Macaca mulatta: one gene and its partners. The protein of the gene in region 1 interacts with the protein of each later gene in a pairwise test. Links are inferred from orthologs where the notes say so. Each region holds a gene or a part of one and is shown in the gene's direction. Other genes may lie near its edges. The genes, in order: CRK, PTPN4, USP53, DPPA4, PSMC6 and PPFIBP2.

Region 1 (4,275 bases):
ACTATCACGCCCAGCTAATTTTTGTATTAGTTGAGACGCGGTTTCACCATATTGGTCAGCCTGGTCTAGAACTCCTGACCTCAGGTGATCCGCCTGCCTCAGCCTCCCAAAGTGTTGGGATTACAGGCGTGAGCCACCGTGCCCGGCCAGATCTGTATTTTAGAAAACTCAGTGGGAGCTGTTTGCAGTGCAATTAGAGGCAACCAGACGAAAGGGCACCAGCGAGCAAGCCACTCATAGGAACACAGTCCAGAGTGACCATGACGGCAGTGAAAGTAGGAGATGCCCCTGGCTACAATTTAGTGTTTAGAAGTATCTGGGAAGGTGACCCGAAAGCCTCAAAAGAGAGGAGAACTCTGTACTTCACGTGGCTTGGCACACTCTGCTCCCTTTGCTTTGAATGTCCTTCCCCTTTTGTCATTCAGCAGTCAACACATGCTACCTCCTCTGGGAAGCCCTCTTGGATTACTCCGCAGACTGGATGGAGGGGGGCTCTGCTCTGTGTTCATGTCCGTTTCCCATGATAGCGCTTGTCAGCATTTGTCATCCTTTTGTCATGCAGTTTCCTGGTTCCTCTCACTGGTGTGTGAGTTTGAGGAGTGCAGGGCCCAGCCTCCATCACCTTTGCACCCGCAGTGCAGGTGGAGTGTCAATAACAATGTCCTGAATGAATCAATGAAAATGAGAACGTCAGCCGGCCTGTGGAGAAGCTAGAGGAACGAGAAGAAACAGACCGACATGGCCGGGAGCGATGTTTCTCGCCTGTAATCCCAGCACTTTGGGAGACCAAGGCGGGTGGATCACCCGAGGTCAGGAGTTCGAGACCAGCCTGGCCAACATGGTGAAACCCCCGTCTCTACTAAAAATACAAAAATTAGCCAGGCGTGGTGGCGCTCGCCTGTAATCCCAGCTACTTGGGAGGCGGAGGCAGGAGAATCGCTTGAACGCGGGAGGCGGAGGTTGCGGTGAGCCGAGATCGCGGCACTGCACTCCAGCCTGGGCGACAGACACACCGTCTGAAAAAACAAAAAAAGAAAAAGAAAAGAGAAACAGACTGATATCCCAGGAAGCCTGGCCGAGAACTGAGGCCCCAGGGCCACACGCGTCTTTTCTCCTGCAATCCTGTCTGGGAGCCGCCGCCTAGAAGTCCCGGGCCGTCCGGGAACGCGAGCCTGAAGCAGCACCGCGCTGTCGGCGGCGCAGGCGCACGTCTCTGCGGGAGGCTGCGAGGCCCCGCCCCCGGGCCCTAGACCCCGCCTCCCATCCCCCTCATCCCCGGGCCGGGCAGGGCGGCACCGCCCATGAGGCCGCATGCGCAGTGCGCGCGCGAGGGCGCCTTGCCCTTCTCCCAATGGCGGGCCGCGGGCCCCTTCCCGGCAGCCTCCCTCGGGCAGGGAGCGCGTCATTTCCGGTGGGGAAGGCCCGCGGCTGCCGCCGCCATTTCGGGCGCTGCTGTGAAGCTGAAACCGGAGCCGGTCCGCTGGGCGGCGGGCGCCGGGGGCCGGAGCGGCGCGCGCGGCGGCGGCACCCCAGCGTTTAGGCGCGGAGGCAGCCATGGCGGGCAACTTCGACTCGGAGGAGCGGAGTAGCTGGTACTGGGGGCGGTTGAGTCGGCAGGAGGCGGTGGCGCTGCTGCAGGGCCAGCGGCACGGGGTGTTCCTGGTGCGGGACTCGAGCACCAGCCCCGGGGACTATGTGCTCAGCGTCTCAGAGAACTCGCGCGTCTCCCACTACATCATCAACAGCAGCGGCCCGCGCCCGCCAGTGCCGCCGTCGCCCGCCCAACCTCCGCCGGGTGAGGGACTGACGGGACGGGGGGCCCTGGGCGGGGTGAGGGCCGCGGAGCTCCCAGCCCGGCTGGCTGCTCCTCGAGAGCGGACCCTCGGGGTCGTGGGCAGAGGGCTGGGTGACCGTGGCAGGGGCCCGCCGGCTGCTGGGGCTCATTCCCACCCGGGGAACAGGAGTGTGGGGGAGGAGGAGCCGCGGACCGAGGCCCCGGGGTGTGCCTGGGAAGGGCAGCCCCGGGGAAGGGGAACTGCTTCGGCCCCAGGGTGGGGCTGGCTCCCGGGCCAGGCGCAAGGGTAGGGCAGGGCAAGGCAACGTGGGGACAAAGAGCTGAGGGAGATGTTGGCACTGCGGGGGCATCACTTGGCAGCGGCGCCCAGAATGAATCCGATAATCCTACAAGTGGCTTTTGGGCTGGAAGCGTTTCCTGCCGTGTTGGAGAGCCGGGTTTGGCCGTGCTCCCCTGGTGGCCTTTGGTAGGAAGTCACCACAAACTGGCCGGGAGGGATGGAGACACCCTCAGGAAACCGGTTAGTTTTTTCCTTTCTTGGGCATTTTTCCAAAATCCTTGTACCGTCCTCTTCCCCCGTGGAGGACGAAGGTGGTGAATTAAGTGATAGAAGAAAGCCTTCAGTGACCAGCCCAACCCAGTTTAAGGCGATGCCTGGCTGCGTGCAGGAGATCTAAGCGTCCAGAAGACTGTCCGCCGGTAGAGGGTTCTGGTTTTCAAAGTGTTTAGTGGAGGAAAGACATTTTATTCCAGAGAATAAACCAGAAATGAGGCAGTGGAAACAGACCCTTCCCTGGATGTGACTGGAGCTTCATTTTCCTTGGACTTACACATTGTCAGTGTGTACTTCAGGGCGTGACCTTGCTCAGTAAGATGGGGCTGCGGGCTGAGTCTTCCTGGATGGTGGGAACAGACTCTACGCCAAGAACATAAATTACCTGCGCTGGGTTTTTCTTGCCAGGGATCCCTGAGATTGACTGTCTTTCCGATGCCGTTGGAGTTGATTTGGGAGTGTTTCAAGGGAATAGATAGATGCCCTTAGTACTGGAGATTTGTGAGGTACGAAGTAATTCTGGGGTTCTCATTGTATGTGTACCTGTTTAACAGCATCAGGAGTCCTCGTGCCTTCACACTGTTGCCAAGTCGAAGCTGTTTCTTCTTGGCCGCTGAGACTGGGTTCAGACTAGTCTCCTATGAATCAGGAAGCTCCTGAGCCATCCTCTGTAGACTTTCTCTTGTAGGATCGTTCTAATTTAGATTTACTTGTTCCGGCCAGAAATGGAGAATTGAATAGCCAGTCTCTTTGTTATTAACACATACCAATTTTTATTTTACTTTTTCCTGAGACGGAGTCTCGCTCTGTCGCCCATGCTGGAGCTCAGTAGCGCGATCTCGGCTCATGGCCACCTCCACCTCCCCGGGGCTCCCGGGTTCAAGATTCTCCTGCCTCAGTCTCCCGAGTAGCTGGGATTACAGGCACCCACCACCACAACCAGCTAATGTTGTATTTCTAGTGGAGACAAGATTTCACCAGATTGGCCAGGCTGCTCTCAAACTCCTGACCTCAGGTGATCCACCCTCCCAAAATGCTGGGATTACAGGTATGAGCCACCGTGCCTGGCCAACACATAACCAATTTTTTTCTTATTTTATTTATTTATTTATTATTTATTTATTTTGAGACAGAGTCTCTCTCTGTCACCCAAGCTGGAGTGCAGTGGCGCCATCTTGGCTCACTGCAACCTCCGCCTTTTGGGTTCAAGTGATTCTCCTGCCTCAGCCTCCTAAGTAGCTGGGATTACCAGTGCCTGTCACCACGCCCAGCTAATTTTTGTATTTTTAGTAGAGATGGGGTTTTACCAGGTTGACCAGGTGGGTCTTGAACTCCTGACCTCAGGTAATCCACTCGCCTTTGCCCCCTCAAAGTGCTGGGATTACGGGTGTGAGCCACTGCACCCAGCTTTGTTTGTTTGAGGCGGAGTTTCACTTTTGTTGCCCAGGCTGGAGTTCAGTGGTGTGATCTCAGCTCACTGCAATCTCTACGTCGTGGGTTCAAAGGATTCTCTTGCTTCAGCCTCCCTAGTAGCTGGGATTACAGGCACACGCCACCATGCCTGGCTAGTTTTTGTATTTTTAGTAGAGATGGGGTTTCACCATGTTGACCAGGCTGGTCTCGAACTCCTGACCTCAGGTGATCCGCCCGCCTCAGCCTCCCAAAGTGCTGGGATTACAGGTGTGAGCCACCACACCCAGCCCAACACATAACTATTTTTAGAAAATGAGTATGGGGTCTATAAGTTCACAAATTATTGTAGATCTTTCTCATTCTGGCCAGTTTAATGGTGTTATGAGATGGGAATATTGATGTACCTGTGTTGGCCCTGAACCAGATATATGCTACTTTGATGCCACCTGCATGGTATCTGGGGTTTTGCATTATATGTAGTAACATGATGGCAAACTGTTATTGAAACTCACTT
Region 2 (4,217 bases), on another chromosome or scaffold:
TGTTCAAATTCCCTTGATTTGTAGTCATTTTGTCGGCTTGGGGGGAAAGTGGTTTTGGAAAGATCGTCTTTATAAAGGTAGGCTCTGATAGGATGCTCAAGCTAAGAGCAAGGAAGGACAAAGAAGGCACCTGGAGACAGAAAAGGGCACTAATAAAAAATTGGGCAAAAAGGAAGTGTGGCGGTCCCCAAATCCCTTCTTCCTCCATTTCAGCTGAGATCACCCGCAGGCAACTGTCCTATTACCAATAAGTTTGTATGACCAATAAAATATTATGCACCTAGCTAAAAACCCTGGCGTGATAACACCAAATTCATGTTATTGGAATGAACTAAATTTTAAAAAGCACACCGTTCAGGCACACAGAAGGCACCCCCGAACGTTTGTTTTATAAACGAAGGTTGGTTGCTGAGGCTTTGTTTTGGAGCCTATGTTTAGGAGAGGAAATGATTCAAAACTGCCCCCCAAAACTTATATCCTTTAGGAGCACTGAGGTTGGGGCGACCTGCTGCCAAGCGGTCTGGTTTTCCCTTTTAACACTGGCTTCTTGTCCCACTATCCGGTCCCTCAGGTCAGTGGGTGCAGCAGGGGTCGCAGCCCAAGCAACCAATCGCGATGCGGCTGCGGGGCGGGGGCCACAGCGCTCCGCCTCCCCCTCCAATCCGCGCTCCAATCCGCCCTCCCAATCCTGCTAGGCCGTCCTCTCTCGCACCTGCGTGTCCCTTCGCGCTCCGACTGGAGCGACTTCTCATCCCTGCGCTGGCGGGGCAGGCTTTTAGCCTCGCTTCTCGCGAGATCGCCTCCTGCTGCTGCCGCCGCCGCTCCCGGCCGCTGACTGGCGGCGCCTGCGCAGCCGCCATGTTCGGTTGCTATGCTGCGGCCTGGGAGAGGGGGTGTGCTTGAGGGAGGAGGAAGAGATAGCGGAGGAGGAGGGGGAGGAAGGGGAGGTGGAGAAGGAGGGGGGTGACTGAGCTCCTCTTGCACTCTCACACACAAACGCTGCCCAGGATTACCCGCCAGCTCACGCCGTGCAGCGCGCTTTTCCGCTCCTCGCGCCCCACCAGCAACATTGTTCTCTCAGGACTCCTGGGTTCCAGGGGCCGGAATTGGGCCTGAGCCGGAGAGGAAAGAGACTTGGCTTTGGCCGAGGGGTCGGAGGATTGGGGCCAGGCCCCCCTCCCCCACGCACTTTTGGGGGTGTGGATTATCTCATCCCCGCAGGGAGGTAGGAGAGGTCGCCGGCTGCCCGCCTCCCTGCCACCTCCCTGGCGACGCCGGCCCGCGGCTGCCCAGCAGCATGAGGTGGTGCTGGCGGCTCCGGGTCGTGGCGCGACCGCTGCGGCGGCGGCTGCTCGGGGGGCGCTGAGGTAGCCCCCCGGAGCGGCACGGCGGACGCGCTTCTCCCCTGCGCGCCGGGGCCTCGAGGCTTTTTTTCTCCAGCCGAGAGGACGCGGCTGTGATATACGAAGGTAAGAGGTTCTCCGGTCCCCGCCGGCCTCTCGGCCCTGCACGCTGAACGCGAGGCTCTTACCTGCATGTGTGGCTCCTGGGAGGTGAGCCAGGTAGAGCAAGCCTGAGGTACGAGGATGATTTAAAAGGAAGGGAAAAAAAAATGCCTTATTTCCTTTCTTCCCGGGACCTCTGCTCTTGCGGGGGTTATAGTTGGAATCTCTGTTATGGGTCAGAGAAGGGACAAGGGATGGAATAGGTGCGGAGATGGAATGTTCCCCAGTACCTAAACTCTAGGTAAAGCTTTGGAATCTTGAGTTTTCCATTGCTGGTAGAATTCCTTTTTTTTTTTTTTTCTTAAATTGGCTCATATGAGCGCTTTTTGCACGTTGCATGAGCCAACTCTTCCTACCATTGAAGTTTTAAGCCTGTTATGATTCTATCAGTCTATACCTGTATTTGGGAATCTGTAGTTCAGCTAAAAAAAAAAAAAAAAAAAAAAAAAGTTGTAGGTAAATAATGATGCATTTCGCAGGGTTTCCATAAAATGGAACAGCTTACAGTTGCACAGGTGATGTGTGGATGTTTCTGCAAAACTTGGGGTGGAAGATTTTATGTCTGGGCTTGCATCATGTAGTGACATCAGTATGTACAAGGACGATTTGTAGGATTTTTCAGAACGCTTGTTCTAGGGTAACTTGTTATACATCTGCAGTATGCCAGCTGCTTTTCGAATAAGAGGTTTCAGTAATACTAAGTTTCTGTGTCCAGATCTTGGGCCCAGTTGAAAGAGTACAGCGGATTGGTCACATTTAAAACGTATTTATGGAGAAAGATAAAAACAAAAGGCCAATGTGTCCGACTTGCAAAAGGCAATTAGAGTAGAAAGAAGATTGGAATAGTAAAAACCAGGGCATTTTAAAATCTTGGTTTTCTGAACTTGAACGTGCCAGAGGAAAAAAATTTTTTTTCAATTTTAAGGGGGAAGGAGATGGCCTTAAAATAAAGTATTGTTCAGAGCCTAAAGTGTGCTTAATGGAATAGAGCTAGATATATCATTTAAATCTTAGATTTGATTAATATAAATTCAGCTTTCTTTTAAAGAAAAAACTCCTAAGCAAAAGTTTGTGTATTGTACAGAACCTCTTCACTAGCTCATGAATGTGATCATTTTGTGGACATCACCATTTTTTGTCAGAATAAATTTATGCTCCAGTTACCACAAAAGCAATTTTTATGTCTCTTCGCATTTTTTATGGTACACATATCTTTGTTACATTTTGCATTGAAACACGCACGGTCCCATAATATGATCTTGAGTGATTTATAAGAGAAACAGTCCTTTTTGTACATGGGAATGTTTGTGATTTTGCTAGTCTGTTTTAAAAATTTGGCAAGAGGTTTTTAAAATCCAAGGAGGCATCACTATTTTGTAGTTTTTAAAAATATTAATTGAGTAGGTCCACGTTTATTAAGTTAGAAAATCACAGGTTCCTCAAAAGTAGTAATAGATGAGGATGGGATTTTCTTACTGCCCGTTTTGTAACGTCTTAGCTTCAGAGCTGTAGGTATTGAATTGAGTCAAACTTGTGTTTTTTTCTTATGTTCTAATTAAATATCTTTTAAAATGTCCCTGGTAACATTGTTACTTTAAATTTATAACACCCAATTTCTAATTTAGGCTAGGCATAAAACCAGCATTGATTGAACATACTTGCTAAAAATACTTTCTGGGTCGGATGTACTTAGAATGCAGCCTCAGGAAATTTCATTTGAACTATTCTGTGACCAGGGTACACTTCATTATTGTTGAAGGACTTTAAAAAAAATTATAGATCTCTCATACTCGATTTAATCAGTTTGGGCATAGATGCCTAACTTTTAAAAAAAGTATAATAAAGTGAGATAGTAATACAGTTTATGTGAGATGGTAATAAAAACTTTTCAGCTTTTTTTTTTTAACTTATATGACTTCGTTAGATTGTTATTAAAGTGTGATTTGTGTTTTTAAAATAGTATTGTTTTTTAAACATAATTGAGTTGTACAGTATCCATTGTTATCTGTTTAGTATTTATTTATGACTTACAAACTCTAAAAGTGGGATCAGTGATCATGGTTTTTAGTAAGTTGTCTTTAAGGAGCAAAGTAAGAGACTAGCAGAGAATTGCAAGGAGGTCTGTTATCGAGAGTACTTTTGCCTCCGCTTGAGAGTTAATATGGCCACTTTTAAACAAGAAAACTTTTCTAAAAATATGTGGAAATCTTGTTTGGTGTATGTTTAAGGGCAAATGTTTAAAAATTCTGCCTAAATTCTTAGAATGCAAAATTGATCAACTCACTAGGAATGGTTGCTGTGGCTAGGAGTGGTTATTGTGGCTAAATATGAATTGTTGCTCCTATATAAAATTTAGCTATTGGTAGAAGTTTACGAACTGAGTTGAATTTTGTTGTTTTTCTCGGTTATTGCATGTTATGAAGTTTTTTATGTACCACAGTCCAGATGTGTTAAATTTGCCAGTTTACTAGAATAAGCTCTGAAGCCTTGAGTTTGGCTTAGCATTCCGAACATCCTTTTTATTGTTTGCCAGAAAAGTACTGTAGGAAGGAGGTGTTGTTCTCTCTTCATTTAACATTTAATTAGTAGTACAGACGGTGAGATAGGGTATAATGTAGAAATACCATAGAATCATCTTTATTGATATGAAAGTACCATTGTCTAGGAACAGCATAATTTCTTACCTTTTGCATGAATGGGGAAAAAGAGGAG
Region 3 (3,603 bases), on another chromosome or scaffold:
CCTTGTAGAGGGTAAAGTGCATGGTGATAATTGGCAGATGCAAAGGACTGAGTCTGGATATGAAAGCAGTGATCACATCAGTAATGGATCTACTAATTTGGACTCACCTGTTATCGATGGAAATGGTACAGTAATGGATATCAGTGCTGTTAAAGAAACAGTATGCTTCAGGTAATGTAAAAGTTGAGTGAATCATTTTTCCATCACTGTTCTTTCTTGTTAATTGCATGAAGTAATTGTCGAAGTTTGGGGTCAATTAAATAGGATGGAAACAGCATGAGCTGTTTTAAAGAGCTTTAAAAAGTTTGCTTCTTCTAAACACAAGTATGTTTCTGTAAAGAAACCTAGGATATTGCAGTTTATTTGATATTTTAGATTTCTATTTTTAATAGTTATTTCCTGATTCCAAAAATAGCAGCTTTTTATTTTTAGAAAATTTGGAAAGTACTGAAGTTTATTATCATTGTTGTGTCACTGTCAACAATTGACTGGTTTTAAAGCACAGACTTCAATTGGTATCATCTCAGTCATTAAATTGGTTGTTTAATTCTTCTTTTTTTGTCTTGAGGGGAAGGAGTCTCGCTCTGTCGCCCAGGCTGGAGTGCAGTGGTGCAATCATGGGTGACTGCAACCTCTGCCTCCTGGGTTCAAGTGATTCTCCTGCCTTAGCTTCCCAAGTAGCTGGGACTATAGGCACACACTACCATGGCTGGCTAATTTTTGTATTTTTAGAGACGGGGTTTTGCCAGGCTGCTCTCGAACTCCCAATCTCAAGTGATCCACCTGCCTTGGCCTCCCAAAGTGCTGGGATCAAAGGCCTGAGCCATTGTGCCTGGCCTGTTGTTTAATTCTTCAATGTATGTAATGTTTATAATCTCATCTCTAACATTTGTAACTCAGAACTGAAGCTAGTTTTTACTGTCACAACTCATTCTCATGGAAGATATTTTCCCTTTAGCAAATATAAAAAAATTCAATCAAATAACTTTGTGTTCAATTAATTCTAAAGACATTTATTATATTACTGTTTAATCCTTCTAACATGTGTTTGTTTGATATTAGCTGATATTTGACCACATTTGTTATTAAAAGGTAGATTTGCAAATATCAACTGCTCATGTTTTATGAAAATGCTGTTTCAATAAAGACTTAAGGAAAGGGCCAGGTGTGGTGACTCACACTTGTAATCACAGCAGTTTGGGAGGCTGAGGCAGGAGGATTGCTTGAACCCAGGAGTTCAAGACCAGCCTGAGCAACATGGAAAGATCTCATCTCTATGAAAAAGTTTTAAAATATTAGCCAGGTATGGTGGCATATGCCTGTGGTCCCAGCTACTTGGGAGGCTGAGGTGGGGGGATCTTTTGAGCCCAGGAGGTTGAGGCTGCAGTGAACCATGTTTGTACCACTGCACTGCATCCTGGGCAAAAGAGCAAAAGGTCCTGGCAAAAAAAAAAAAAAAAAAAAAAAAAAGACTTGACAAGGTAATTTTATAATTCTTCTTGGAATGGAGTAGCCTACGGTAGTAGAAAGATCAGGATTTTATAACCAGATAGACTTAGATTTTAATTATTGGGCAAATTTGTTTGACTTTTACAGTCTTTATCTTCTCTTGTAAAATAAAGATAACTACTTTTAGTATTAAATAATGTACATTAAGCCCTAGAACAACACATGGTATATAATAAATGTTTAACAAATTTTTTTTTCTTTTTTTAGAATAAACAAAGGCAATCCATAATAACTGATGTGTTTAGTGTGTATTTTATTTTCTAGTGACCAGATTAAGACAAGCAACCTAAATAAAGAATGTGGGGACTGGACCTCCCTTCAGAGCCAAAATCACTTAGAAGGTAAAAAGCTTATTTGAATATAATAGTTGCTGTAAAAAATAAATTGTAGTAATGTATTGTTTGCTATTATGATGTACCTGAGAGAAAATCCTATATGACTATAAAAATGACTATGAACATTATTTTTAAATAACCCTAAAATATCAATAAACACATTTTATGAATATATTATGTTTTAAATTATGTTTTAATCAAGTACATGTGGAAAGAAGGAAATCAGCATTCTTTTTTGTATGTATATTGTTATACAAAAGAAAGCATGCTATACTTTCCACATTGGCTTCACAAAGTGTTAATAATGGTTTTGTATCTTACTTTTTATTTGATTGGATAACTATTGCTTTTGAAGTTTGCAGCCTTTTTAATGTGCTGTTTGGATATGTCTCTGATATTAAAGATAGCATTATTATTTTTTGATTTAGATGATGAAGTCTTTCAATTTTTTTTTAGTAGCCATTTGCATTTTAAGTGTCCACATTAGGGACCCTTGAACACGTTGCTTTTCATACTTGTCCTTAAAACTGTTATTTGAGACTCAAATAGGCAGGAGTATCTGTCTATGGTGGCTTGTTAACACTTTACTTTTACTTAACAGAAGGTATATTTCTATATTTGCAAATAAAAATGTCATGTTCTGATAGCTCAGAAACTGTCTATAGACTGTTGGTCTTTCTGACTTTACCCCCTACCTTTTATGCCTATGCGAAATAGGCATAAAAAGAGAATGGTCCACTGGGGTCCATTGAGGTAAGAGTAAAGAAGATAAGAATGGTCCTGTTACTGATAAGTTTATGAGTAATGATGAGGGAAGTTGAGAGCATTCATACTTGAAGGCTTTTAAAGGATGGGAAAAGCTATGAGAAAAGGGGAAACTCTTATCAGGATAGGTAGGTTTTAGATTATGCAATGGTAGTATCTTCAAAATCTCCAGGTGTTAACTCAAGTTTGTTTCTTGCTCACAATACAAGTCCAGAGGTGGTCAGTGTAATCTCTTCTTAGGAGTCACTCAGGATCCCGGGCTAAGGGGATATGGGTGAGAAGGAGATAAAGGAAGATATATTGTGGAGAATCACCTGCCAACTCTTAAAACTTCAAACCTGAAGTGACACATGCACTTCCACTTCTGTATCATTGACCAGAGCTAGTCTTCTAACCAGGCCTGATTTCAGAGAAGGTAGAAAACTGCAGTTTTACAGGTGCTTGGAATTGAATGGAAGCATGTGTGTACAATTCTAATGACTGTCACAGTAGTTAAAAACTGATAGAAAGATTGATAAACAGCCTTCTGGAAAAGTTCCGTTTGGCAACAATAACTGTGCAATGGTGTGGAATGATTATAGGCGATTTGTTAGCAACACATAGTAGCCCAGAAGCAAAGAAAGTTAGAAATTTGAATGTATACAGGATTCAGGGTTGCTATTGGGAGTATATACCTGAAGAATTTTGGGGAGAGAAGTCAAGGAAGATGATTTGCAAAGGAATTATTATGCTGCGATCAAAGACAATGTTTTCAAATTTTATAATTCAGAGGAGTAGAAGGGATATAATTTTTCACAATATAAAAGAGCAATGAACAGCAAATTTTAATGTTTTTTAGTCTTTATTATCCTTAAGGCTTTTGTGGGGATTATTTTTCAGTTTGCAGACAAAGAATGTGATTAAATGTTAAATTATTTTGTTTTCATCAAATGGTATACTATCAGAAGGAAACACTTATATTAAGGAAATAACCTTCCTTTCCCATATTCGAATG
Region 4 (3,603 bases), on another chromosome or scaffold:
TGGCTCAAGTGATTCTCCTACCTCAGTCTCTTGAGTAGCTCGGGCTACAGGCATGTACCACCATGCTCAGCTAATCTTGTTTCCTTTTTGTAGAGGCAAGGTTTCACTTGTTGTTGCTCAGGCTGGTATCCAACTACTGGACTCAAGCGATCCTCTTGCCTTGTCCTCCTAAAGCACTTGGATTACAGGCGTGAGCCACAACGCCTGGCCTGCATGACAGTGTGTATTAAGATGATACCCAGAGGAGAATCCACACTGCCAGTGGAGTCCAGTGACTGCCTTGGTGCCTTAGAAGTGAGTTATCTTGAGGCAGGTAGTGTATGTGTGGTTTGGACACTGGAGGAATGACTGACCAGCTCCTCTGTTCCCAGTAGACCTCCACAGAGAAGTCGAGGGAAGAGGATCAGCAAACTTCTAATCAACCAAACATGATTGCTTTGCCAGGAACATCAGCAAAGGGAACCAAAGAAAAAAAGTCTGTCAAAGGCAATAAAGGTAAGAGGTCTTCAAATCCTCAAATTCCACTTTCTCAGGTCTTAGAAGCCAGAGGAATTTTTCTGAAGAAGAAAAGCCAGGGAAGAAATTTCCGTCATATATTTTGCAAATCCTACAGTTCATGGGAGTCTAGCTTAAACTGCACCTTCCTGAAGCATCTTTTGGTCACCATTGCCCTAACCGATCCCTTCCTATCTTCAGACTTCCACAGCATATTTGGTTCTGTTGATCATTTTTTCCTTCACTTGCTACTTGGAGTTAAGAATTTCAATGTGCAATGATTTGGGAACAGACAGCTGTAAATTTGAAGACCCATTCTTGAAACCGGACTACCTATTCTAAAAATAAGTTTGAACAATATCTACCTTTATTCGGGTGTGGGAATGGAGTGTTAAAATTTACATAGAATAATTAAGTGAAGTACTTACACTATGCCTAAGAAGTAATGGCCGGGCGCGGTGGCTCAAGCCTGTAATCCCAGCACTTTGGGAGGCCGAGACGGGCGGATCACGAGGTCAGGAGATCGAGACCATCCTGGCTAACACAGTGAAACCCCGTCTCTACTAAAAAATACAAAAAAAAAAAAACTAGCCGGGCGAGGTGGCGGGCAACTGTAGTCCCAGCTACTCGGGAGGCTGAGGCAGGAGAATGGCGTAAACCCGGGAGGCGGAGCTTGCAATGGGCCGAGATCCGGCCACTGCGCTCCAGCCTGGGCGACAGAGCAAGACTCTGTCTCAAAAAAAAAAAAAAAAAAAGAAGTAATATGTACACAGTAAACCCTACTAACTCTAAGTGTCATTACAGGCTGTGTCTTTTTTTTTGAGACACCAAGACAGGGTGTTGGTCTGTCATCCAGGCTAGAGTGTGGTGGCACCATCTCAGTTCCCTGCAACCTCTGCCTCCCTGGTTCAAGCGATTGTCCTGTCTTAGCCTCCCAAGTTAGCTAGGATTGCAGGCGTGTGCCACCATGCCTGGCTGATTTTTGTATTTTTAGTAGAGACGGGATTTTACCATATTGGCCAGGCTGGTTGTGAACTCTTGGCCTCAAGTGACCCATCTGCCTTGGCCTCCTAAAGTGCTGGGATTACAGGTGTAAGCCACCAGACCCAGCCTTAGACATTTTTTTGGCATGATCCTGGCCCACTAAAACCTCTGCCTCCCGGATTCAAACAGTTATCCAGCCTCAGCCTCCCAAGTAACTGAGATTACAGGCATGTGCCATCATGCCCAGCGAATTTTTTTTTTTTTTTTAGTAGAGACAGCATTTCACCATGTTGGCCATGCTGGTCTCAAACTCCTGACCTCAGGTTATCCCCCCACCTCGGCCTCCCAAAGTGCTGGGATTACAGTGTGAGCCACTGTGCCTAGCCAAATATCTTTACTGAATGAAGACAAGGTATGTGAGGTGCAGAAGCAGGATGAACAGAAACACAGCTCAGCTAAGGAAGCATACCTGCTATGAAACCAGAGTGCTGCCCTGACTAGGGTGGGCTGGCAGAATTAGGAATATTAGTGGTTGCCTGTGTAGTATTGTCAGGTGTTGAGTTTGCTCTGTGTGTAGAGGACACCACTGAGTATGATCTCAAGTCTAAGACAGCGGTAATTCCCCTCGGGTGGAAGTGCCATCTCTGGTGCCACCACCTGGGTTCTGTGGATTAAGGGGTTCACAAAGGTATGATCTCAAGTCTAAGACAGTGATAATTCCCCTGGGATGGAAGTGGCATCTCCGGTGCCACCACCTGGGTTCTGTGGACTAAAGGGTTCACAAAGGAGCACGTGTACCTGAGTAGTGGGGAGATTGAGGAATAAAACTGGGATTTAGAAGTGGTAAGTCCTAGGTTTGAGAGGGATTGAACTATTAATAACTAAAACTGATTTTAGGCCGGGCGCGGTGGCTTAGGCCTGTAATCCTAGCACTTTGGGAGGCCTAGGTGGGCAGATCACAAGTTCAGGAGTTCGAGACCAGCTTGGCCAACATGGTGAAACTTCACCTCCACTAAAAATAGAAAAAAAATTAGCCGGGCGTGGTGGTGGGCATCTGTAATCCCAGCTTCTCAGGAGGCTGAGGCAGGAGAATCGCTTGAACCCAGGAGGCGGAGGTTACAGGGAGCCAAGATTGCGCCACTGCGCTCCAGCCGGGCGACAAAGCAAGACTCTCAGAAAAAAAAAAAAAAACAGTGATTTTACTTTTGAAATTCTGAAAAGGTACACAAAGTTAATTACTACTAATTTGATTCCATTCTCCTTCAGTGCTCTGTCCTAAGAAGAAGGCAGAGTGCAGTGACAACCCCAGACCTCAGAGGAAGATACCAATCCCTCCATTACCCTCTAAACTGCCACCTGTTAATCTGATTCACCGGGACATTCTGCGGGCCTGGTGCCAACAATTGAAGCTGAGCTCCAAAGGCCAGGTGAGGGCCTAGGCTGGGGATGGTACTGCTGGGAGGAAGGGTAGGAACCTTACTTGCCTTACTAACTCAGTTTTCTGTTGTCTTAGAAATTGGATGCATATAAGCGCCTGTGTGCCTTTGCCTACCCAAATCAAAAGGTAACTTTTTAAAGGATGTACGTTTCAGTGCTTATCCTAATTACCTATTGTAGCCTCAAAAGTGAGTAAAGGAGCTGTCTTAGCCTCCGCTTGTCCCTCCACCCCTAGTTCTAAGAAAGAACAGTATTTTCCATGCCTGCTTTCCTTTTTTTTTTTTTGAGATGGAGTCTCACACTGTCACCCAGACTGGAGTGCTGTGGCACCATCTCAGCTCACTGCAACCTCCACCTCCCGAATTCAAGCAATTCTCCTGCCTCAGCCTCCTAAGTAGCTGAGATTACAAGCACCCGCCACCACGCCCAGCTAATTTTTTGTATTTTTAGTAGAGGTGGGGTTTCACTATTTTGGTCAGGCTGGTCTTGAACTCCTGACCTCGTGGTCTGCCCACCTCGGCCTCCCAAGGTGCTGGGATTACAGGTGTGAGCCACCGTGCCTGGCCTTCCATCCCTACTTCTCACCAAGTCTGCAAAGAATAATAAAAATGAGGCAGCCCAGCCTGGCCAACATGGTGAAATCCTGTCTCTACTAAAAATACAAAAATTAGCCAGGTGTGGTGGTGC
Region 5 (3,603 bases), on another chromosome or scaffold:
ATAAATTTCCAACTCTACTATTTTAGGTGGTCGTCGGTTTTCTGAGGGTACTTCAGCTGACAGAGAGATTCAGAGAACGTTAATGGAGGTAATATTTAGTAAAGGGGGTTTATAAAGAAACCAGTGTTTATTAAATGAAGAACTGAACATTGCATATTTGATAGTCAAAATATATAGAACATTTTAAATGAAATATAAAATTTGAAAATATTGTCAGGAACGAACATGTTTCTCTATCACAAACTCTAAGAAAATGACTACTAGAAAATAAGGCTATCTGCCAAATTCCATTTGGTATATACCTGTACTATTCTGTGTGTTTTGAGCAGATCAGTCATTCATATATTTAAATTGATTCTTATGAATGTGATCTTGTGGTAGTTTTATGAAGACATTTTATGTAATGGTCATATTAAGACCGTTGGCAATAAATGAGCTATAATTATGTATGCAGCTGCTCTAAAAATTATTTTTTCTCTCACTTTATTGCTGAGACTGAGGCAATTAAAATAGTTGTGATAATTGAAGAGGATAGTTGACACAATGAAAGAATGCACATAAAGCTTTCCCCCAGTTTTACCTTTCCCCACTCCAAATTCTGTGAAAGTGATAACAAGAGTCCAAATACATTTGCCACTTCAAATAGAAACTAGGTAGCATGGGAAATGCAGTGTCCATTCTTTCTTCTTAGGAGTATTTGAAAAATCTCTTTTCATAAATTATACAGATCTGCTCAGAAGATACATAGTATTTGGAAATTATAAAATATCTTAGAAACCTTAAATTGAGATATTTTTAAATGACACAAATACTAATTTTATTCAAGTAACTAAATATATCATCAACTAACACATTGTCAGACTAGCTATATTTTAGTTTGTTAAATGCAGTAAGGTTTTTCATTTATTCAAGAAAACTTTAGAAATTGAGATAATATTTTTTATGTCTTTCAATATTTCTGTGTACAGAATTATTTGAAAAAATAGACCAGACATGGTAACTTCTGCCTGTAATCCCAGCACTTTGGGAGGCCCAGATGGGCAGATCATGAGGTCTGGGCATCAGGACCAGCCTGGCCAATGTAGTGTCTCTACTAAAGATACAAAAATTAGCTGGGCGTGGTGGCACGTGCCTGTAATCCCAGTTATTCAGGAGGCTGAGGCAGGAGAATTGCTTGAACAAAGAGGCAGAGGTTGCAGTGAGCTGAGATCGCCCCATTGCATTCCAGCCTGGGCAACAGAGCAAGAATCTGTCTCAAAACAAAAAACAAAAAACAAAAAAAAACAGTCCCTCAGCTACTCAGGAGGTTGAGGTGGGAGGACTGGTTGAGCCCAGGAGGCGGAGGTTGCAGTGAGCAATGATCAGGCCACTATACTCCAGCCTGGGTGACAGAGTGAAACTCTGTCTCAAAAAAAAAAAATTATGGGTTTACTATCAAATTTGTAGAAAAATCTTTGTATCCAGTTATCCTAATATAAATGTTGTATCTGACATATCATAAGCACTTTATATATTGGATTTTATTATTAGCTTTTATTTTTAAAAAAATTGATAAAATTTTGGACATTGGAAATTAGATCCACATAGTTTAATTTCATAATTCTTGACATGATGGAAGCCTTCAGATTTATTAAAACTACCTGGTAGCTATAGAAAGATACATAGCTATTAAAAGGCACATAATCTAGCTTAGAACTTTGAGGCTAGAAAGTATATCCCTTTATATAATAGAGAGAAAATTAGAATTCTATCAAATGACCATTCTGAAGATAGAACATATCTATCAGTAGACAATACATTTCATGGCATTAGATATATAAAAGGTGCATGCTATTTTTTTAATGGTTAGAATGTTTGTACAATCTGATTCTTAATATTCTTAGTTACTGAATCAAATGGATGGATTTGATACTCTGCATAGAGTTAAAATGATCATGGCTACAAACAGACCAGATACACTGGATCCTGCTTTGCTGCGTCCAGGAAGATTAGATAGAAAAATACGTGAGTTAAGGTTCTTCACCTACTACCTATTTCCCTTTGTGCCCATTTGTTTTTCCGTGCTTCACTTCACCTTCCACTGTATTTTATAAAAGATAAAACTGGACTATAAAATAATTTTTTATTTTCAGATATTGATTTGCCAAATGAACAAGCAAGGTTAGACATACTGAAAATCCACGCAGGTCCCATTACAAAGCATGGTGAAATAGGTAAGGAAGTCATCTATTTTATATGTATTTATATTTGGTAAATGAAGAAAAATACTGTTAGAAATTACTGATAGTTTCCTAAATCTGGTTTTAAATTCAGCAAATAGTTATTGAGCATCTACTCTATGCTAGGAACCATTGTAAGTGTTTTGTAAGGGCTGACGATATATCAAGGAACAAAACAGACAAATTTCTGCCATTAGATAACTTACATTCTTGTTAGGAAAAAACAGATAAAGTTAGTAAAACAAAGTATAATAGATGATGGTAAGTGCTATGGAGAAAAATAAAGCAAGAAAGTGGGGGGTGGGCATGGTGGCTCACTCCTGTAATCCTAATGCTTTGGGAGGCCAAGGCAGAAGGATCACTTGAGGCCAGGAGTTTGAAGCTGCAGGGAGCTATGATCATGTGACTGCACTCCAGTTTGGCAAGACCCTGTTTCAGGGGAAAAAAAAAAGAAAAGGGGGATAGGAAATTAGGGAAGTGCCAGGAGCAGGCATGAGGATATACATTTTTAAACGACAGGGAGGATTAGCATAGGGAAGGACTGACCAAGAAGGTAATTTTTTAGAGATAGGGTCTCACTCTTGCCCAGGCTGGAGTGCAGTGGTGTGATCCCAGCTCACTGCAACTTCTGCCTCCCAAGCTCAAATGATCCTCACACCTCACCCTCCTGATTAGCTGGGACTGCAGGCACACACCACCAACCCTGGCTTGTTTTTTTGTAGGGAAGGGGTTTCACCATGTTGCCCAGGCTGATCTTGAACTACTGGGCTCAAGCAATCTGCCCACCTCGGCCACCCAAAGTTCTGGGATAACAGGCATGTGCGTCTGTACCCGGCCTGGTTTTTTTGGTTTGGTTTTTTGTTGTTGTTGTTTTGTTTTAAATTTATTCCTGTTAAATGCTGACAATAGGTCAGATAAAGAGTTCTCAGAGTAGACCTTTGGATTTAACTATGTGGAGGTAATTGATAATCTTGTCAAAAGTAGCTTCTTGGGAGTGGTGGAGGTGAAAGCCTATTTCAGATGGGTTTCAGAGAGATTGAGAAGAGAGGCATTGAGTTTAGACATTTCTTTTTTAAGAGTTCCACAGAGGAGGCCGGGCGCGGTGGCTCACGCCTGTAATCCCAGCACTTTGGGAGGCCGAGGCGGGCGGATCACAAGGTCAGGAGATCGAGACCACGGTGAAACCCCGTCTCTACTAAAAATACAAAAAATTAGCCGGGCACAGTTGTGGGCGCCTGTAGTCCCAGCTAGCTACTCGGGAGGCTGAGGCAGGAGAATGGCGTGAACCCGGGAGGCGGAGCTTGCAGTGAGCCGAGATCGCGCCACTGCACTCCAGCCTGGGCGACAGAGCAAGACTCTGTCTCAAAAAAAAAAAAAAAAAAGA
Region 6 (3,603 bases), on another chromosome or scaffold:
TTTCTGCCTTCATTGGGTTATGTACCCAGTAGTCATTCAGGAGCAGGTTGTTCAGTTTCCATGTAGTTGGGCGGTTTTGATTGAGTTTCTTAGTCCTGAGTTCTAGTTTGATTGCACTGTGGTCTGAGAGACAGTTTGTTATAATTTCTGTTCTTGTACATTTGCTGAGGAGTGCTTTACTTCCAATTACGTGGTCGATTTTGGAGTAAGTACGATGTGGTGCTGAGAAGAATGTATATTCTGTTGATTTGAGGTGGAGAGTTCTATAGATGTCTATTAGGTCTGCTTGCTGCAGAGATGAGTTCAATTCCTGGATATCCTTGTTAACTTTCTGTCTCGTTGATCTGTCGAATGTTGACAGTGGAGTGTTGAAGTCTCCCATTATTATTGTATGGGAGTCTAAGTCTCTTTGTAAGTCTCTAAGGACTTGCTTTATGAATCTGGGTGCTCCTGTATTGGGTGCATATATATTTAGGATAGTTAGCTCTTCCTGTTGAATTGATCCCTTTACCATTATGTAATGGCCTTCTTTGTCTCTTTTGATCTTTGATGGTTTAAAGTCTGTTTTATCAGAGACTAGTATTGCAACCCCTGCTTTTTTTTGTTCTCCATTTGCTTGGTAAATCTTCCTCCATCCCTTTATTTTGAGCCTATGTATGTCTCTCCGTGTGAGATTGGTCTCCTGAATACAGCAGACTGATGGGTCTTGACTCTTTATCCAGTTTGCCAGTCTATGTCTTTTAATTGGAGCATTTAGTCCATTTACATTTAAGGTTAAGATTGTTATGTGTGAACTTGATCCTGCCATTATGATATTAACTGGTTATTTTGCTCGTTAGTTGATGTAGTTTCTTCCTAGCCTCAATGGTCTTTACATTTTGGCATGTTTTTGCAATGGCTGGTACCGGTTGTTCCTTTCCATGTTTAGTGCTTCCTTCAGGGTCTCTTGTAAGGCAGGCCTAGTGGTGACAAAATCTCTAAGCATTTGCTTATCTGTAAAGGATTTTATTTCTCCTTCAGTTATGAAACTTAGTTTGGCTGGATATGAAATTCTGGGTTGAAAATTCTTTTCTTTAAGAATGTTGAATATTGGCCCCCACTCTCTTCTGGCTTGGAGAGTTTCTGCCGAGAGATCTGCTGTTAGTCTGATGGGCTTCCCTTTGTGGGTAACCCGACCTTTCTCTCTGGCTGCCCTTAACATTTTTTCCTTCATTTCAACTTTGGTGAATCTGGCAATTATGTGTCTTGGAGTTGCTCTTCTCGAGGAGTATCTTTGTGGCGTTCTCTGTATTTCCTGGATTTGAATGTTGGCCTGCCCTACTAGGTTGGGGAAGTTCTCCTGGATGATATCCTGAAGAGTGTTTTCCAACTTGGTTCCATTTTCCCCCTCACTTTCAGGCACCCCAATCAGACGTAGATTTGGTCTTTTTACATAATCCCATACTTCTTGCAGGCTTTGTTCATTTCTTTTTCTTCTTTTTTCTTTTGGTTTCTCTTCTCGCTTCATTTCATTCATTTGATCCTCAATCGCAGATACTCTTTCTTCCAGTTGATCGAGTCGGTTACTGAAGCTTGTGCATTTGTCACGTATTTCTCGTGTCATGGTTTTCATCTCTTTCATTTCGTTTATGACCTTCTCTGCATTAATTACTCTAGCCATCAATTCTTCCACTTTTTTTTCAAGATTTTTAGTTTCTTTGCGCTGGGTACGTAATTCCTCCTTTAGCTCTGAGAAATTTGATGGACTGAAGCCTTCTTCTCTCATCTCGTCAAAGTCATTCTCCGTCCAGCTTTGATCCGTTGCTGGCGATGAGCTGCGCTCCTTTGCCGGGGGAGATGCGCTCTTATTTTTGGAATTTCCAGCTTTTCTGCCCTGCTTTTTCCCCATCTTTGTGGTTTTATCTGCCTCTGGTCTTTGATGATGGTGATGTACTGATGGGGTTTTGGTGTAGGTGTCCTTCCTGTTTGATAGTTTTCCTTCTAACAGTCAGGACCCTCAGCTGTAGGTCTGTTGGAGATTGCTTGAGGTCCACTCCAGACCCTGTTTGCCTGGGTATCAGCAGCAGAGGCTGCAGAAGATAGAATATTTCTGAACAGCGAGTGTACCTGTCTGATTCTTGCTTTGGAAGCTTCCTCTCAGGGGTGTACTCCACCCTGTAAGGTGTGGGGTTTCAGACTGCCCCTAGTGGGGGATGTCTCCCAGTTAGGCTACTCAGGGGTCAGGGACCCACTTGAGCAGGGAGTCCCTTCTCAGATCTCAACCTCCGTGTTGGGAGATCCACTGCTCTCTTCAAAGCTGTCAGACAGAGTCGTTTGCGTCTGCAGAGGTTTCGGCTGTGTTTGTTATTGCCCTGTCCCCAGAGGTGGAGTCTACAGAGACAGGCAGGTTTCCTTGAGCTGCTGTGAGCTCCACCCAGTTCGAGCTTCCCAGCAGCTTTGTTTACCTACTTAAGCCTCAGCAATGGCGGGCGCCCCTCCCCCAGCCTAGCTGCTGCCTTGCCGGTAGATCACAGACTGCTGTGCTAGCAATGAGGGAGGCTCCGTGGGTGTGGGACCCTCCCGGCCAGGTGTGGGATATGATCTCCTGGTGTGCCTGTTTGCTTAAAGCGCAGTATTGGGGTGGGAGTTACCTGATTTTCCAGGTGTTGTGTGTCTCAGTTCCCCTGGCTAGGAAAAGGGATTCCCTTCCCCCTTGTGCTTCCCAGGTGAGGCAATGCCTCGCCCTGCTTCAGCTCTCGCTGGTCGGGCTGCAGCAGCTGACCAGCACCGATCGTCCGGCACTCCCCAGTGAGATGAACCCAGTACCTCAGTTGAAAATGCAGAAATCACCGGTCTTCTGTGTCGCTCACGCTGGGAGTTGGAGACTGGAGCTGTTCCTATTCGGCCATCTTGCTCCGCCCCCTAGAATGCCAATTTTCATATCCAAAGAGCTTGCAGAGTCATTCATGGCTGTTAATTCACTGGGTCTCTGAGCACTAGGCCAGACAGCAAAGGCCCCTTTGCAAGACAACTTCACTTCCTATTAGAGGCAGTTGCAGTCAGCCCCAGATTTGCACTTGACTCTGTCCCTGTCTTACTGTGTGGCCTTGGAAAAGTTTCTTCCTTCCTTGGAACTCTGGTCCCTTTTCTCAGACTAGCTAAATAATCTTTGAGGGGTCTTCAAGTCACCATATGTGAAAAATGTCTCTTAGAAAACAGGGAGTTGTTCTGTATCCAAGGATTTCCTAACTGAGGCTGACAGCTAAGTCGATATCTCTCTTTTTCTCTCACCTTCCAATAGGACAGCCCTTTCTTGGCAGAGCACAAATATCCCACTTTACCTGGGAAGCTTTCGGGACCCACGCCCAATGGAGAGGCTGCCAAATCTCCTCCCACTGTCTGCCAGCCTGACGCCACGGGGAGCAGCCTGCTGAGGCTGAGTGAGTGTCCAGTCCTGGTGCTGGTGGCCTCTGAGCAGCATCCTTGGCACTTTCCGTGATTGTATAAGATCCCTGCACCTACCACCACAATCCACAGTTGGAGAATGGTGGGGTGGGTGGCTGGAACAAGTTGTACCTTGGGGTGGTCCCACCTCTAGAGGCTCCCCCTGGGTGAGCTGTTTTC

What was found.
Region 2: the proteins of CRK (region 1) and PTPN4 interact in binary tests that used the Homo sapiens proteins (3 or more experiments, as listed by UniProt). The link is inferred for Macaca mulatta from reciprocal best matches to the Homo sapiens genes CRK and PTPN4.
Region 3: the proteins of CRK (region 1) and USP53 interact in binary tests that used the Homo sapiens proteins (3 or more experiments, as listed by UniProt). The two-hybrid records come from large-scale screens. The link is inferred for Macaca mulatta from reciprocal best matches to the Homo sapiens genes CRK and USP53.
Region 4: the proteins of CRK (region 1) and DPPA4 interact in binary tests that used the Homo sapiens proteins (3 or more experiments, as listed by UniProt). The two-hybrid records come from large-scale screens. The link is inferred for Macaca mulatta from reciprocal best matches to the Homo sapiens genes CRK and DPPA4.
Region 5: the proteins of CRK (region 1) and PSMC6 interact in binary tests that used the Homo sapiens proteins (3 or more experiments, as listed by UniProt). The two-hybrid records come from large-scale screens. The link is inferred for Macaca mulatta from reciprocal best matches to the Homo sapiens genes CRK and PSMC6.
Region 6: the proteins of CRK (region 1) and PPFIBP2 interact in binary tests that used the Homo sapiens proteins (3 or more experiments, as listed by UniProt). The link is inferred for Macaca mulatta from reciprocal best matches to the Homo sapiens genes CRK and PPFIBP2.

Annotation. Positions count from the first base shown.
Region 1 is NC_133421.1:3,001,114-3,005,388, reverse strand, and holds the start of CRK (adapter molecule crk), read left to right. Parts: upstream 1-1,439; 5' UTR 1,440-1,554; coding exon 1,555-1,795; intron 1,796-4,275. UniProt on the Homo sapiens protein: Involved in cell branching and adhesion mediated by BCAR1-CRK-RAPGEF1 signaling and activation of RAP1.
Region 2 is NC_133417.1:17,732,687-17,736,903, reverse strand, and holds the start of PTPN4 (tyrosine-protein phosphatase non-receptor type 4), read left to right. Parts: upstream 1-1,377; 5' UTR 1,378-1,469; intron 1,470-4,217. UniProt on the Homo sapiens protein: Phosphatase that plays a role in immunity, learning, synaptic plasticity or cell homeostasis. Regulates neuronal cell homeostasis by protecting neurons against apoptosis.
Region 3 is NC_133410.1:128,294,136-128,297,738, forward strand, and holds part of USP53 (ubiquitin carboxyl-terminal hydrolase 53), read left to right. Parts: coding exon 1-171; intron 172-1,773; coding exon 1,774-1,850; intron 1,851-3,603. UniProt on the Homo sapiens protein: Deubiquitinase that mediates 'Lys-63'-linked deubiquitination of tight junction proteins, such as MARVELD2 and LSR, and which is involved in the survival of auditory hair cells and hearing.
Region 4 is NC_133407.1:174,306,238-174,309,840, forward strand, and holds part of DPPA4 (developmental pluripotency-associated protein 4), read left to right. Parts: intron 1-374; coding exon 375-495; intron 496-2,745; coding exon 2,746-2,906; intron 2,907-2,992; coding exon 2,993-3,043; intron 3,044-3,603. UniProt on the Homo sapiens protein: May be involved in the maintenance of active epigenetic status of target genes. May inhibit differentiation of embryonic cells into a primitive ectoderm lineage.
Region 5 is NC_133412.1:125,843,027-125,846,629, forward strand, and holds part of PSMC6 (26S proteasome regulatory subunit 10B), read left to right. Parts: intron 1-26; coding exon 27-88; intron 89-1,883; coding exon 1,884-2,004; intron 2,005-2,132; coding exon 2,133-2,213; intron 2,214-3,603. UniProt on the Homo sapiens protein: Component of the 26S proteasome, a multiprotein complex involved in the ATP-dependent degradation of ubiquitinated proteins.
Region 6 is NC_133419.1:57,938,772-57,942,374, reverse strand, and holds part of PPFIBP2 (liprin-beta-2), read left to right. Parts: intron 1-3,280; coding exon 3,281-3,419; intron 3,420-3,603. UniProt on the Homo sapiens protein: May regulate the disassembly of focal adhesions. Did not bind receptor-like tyrosine phosphatases type 2A.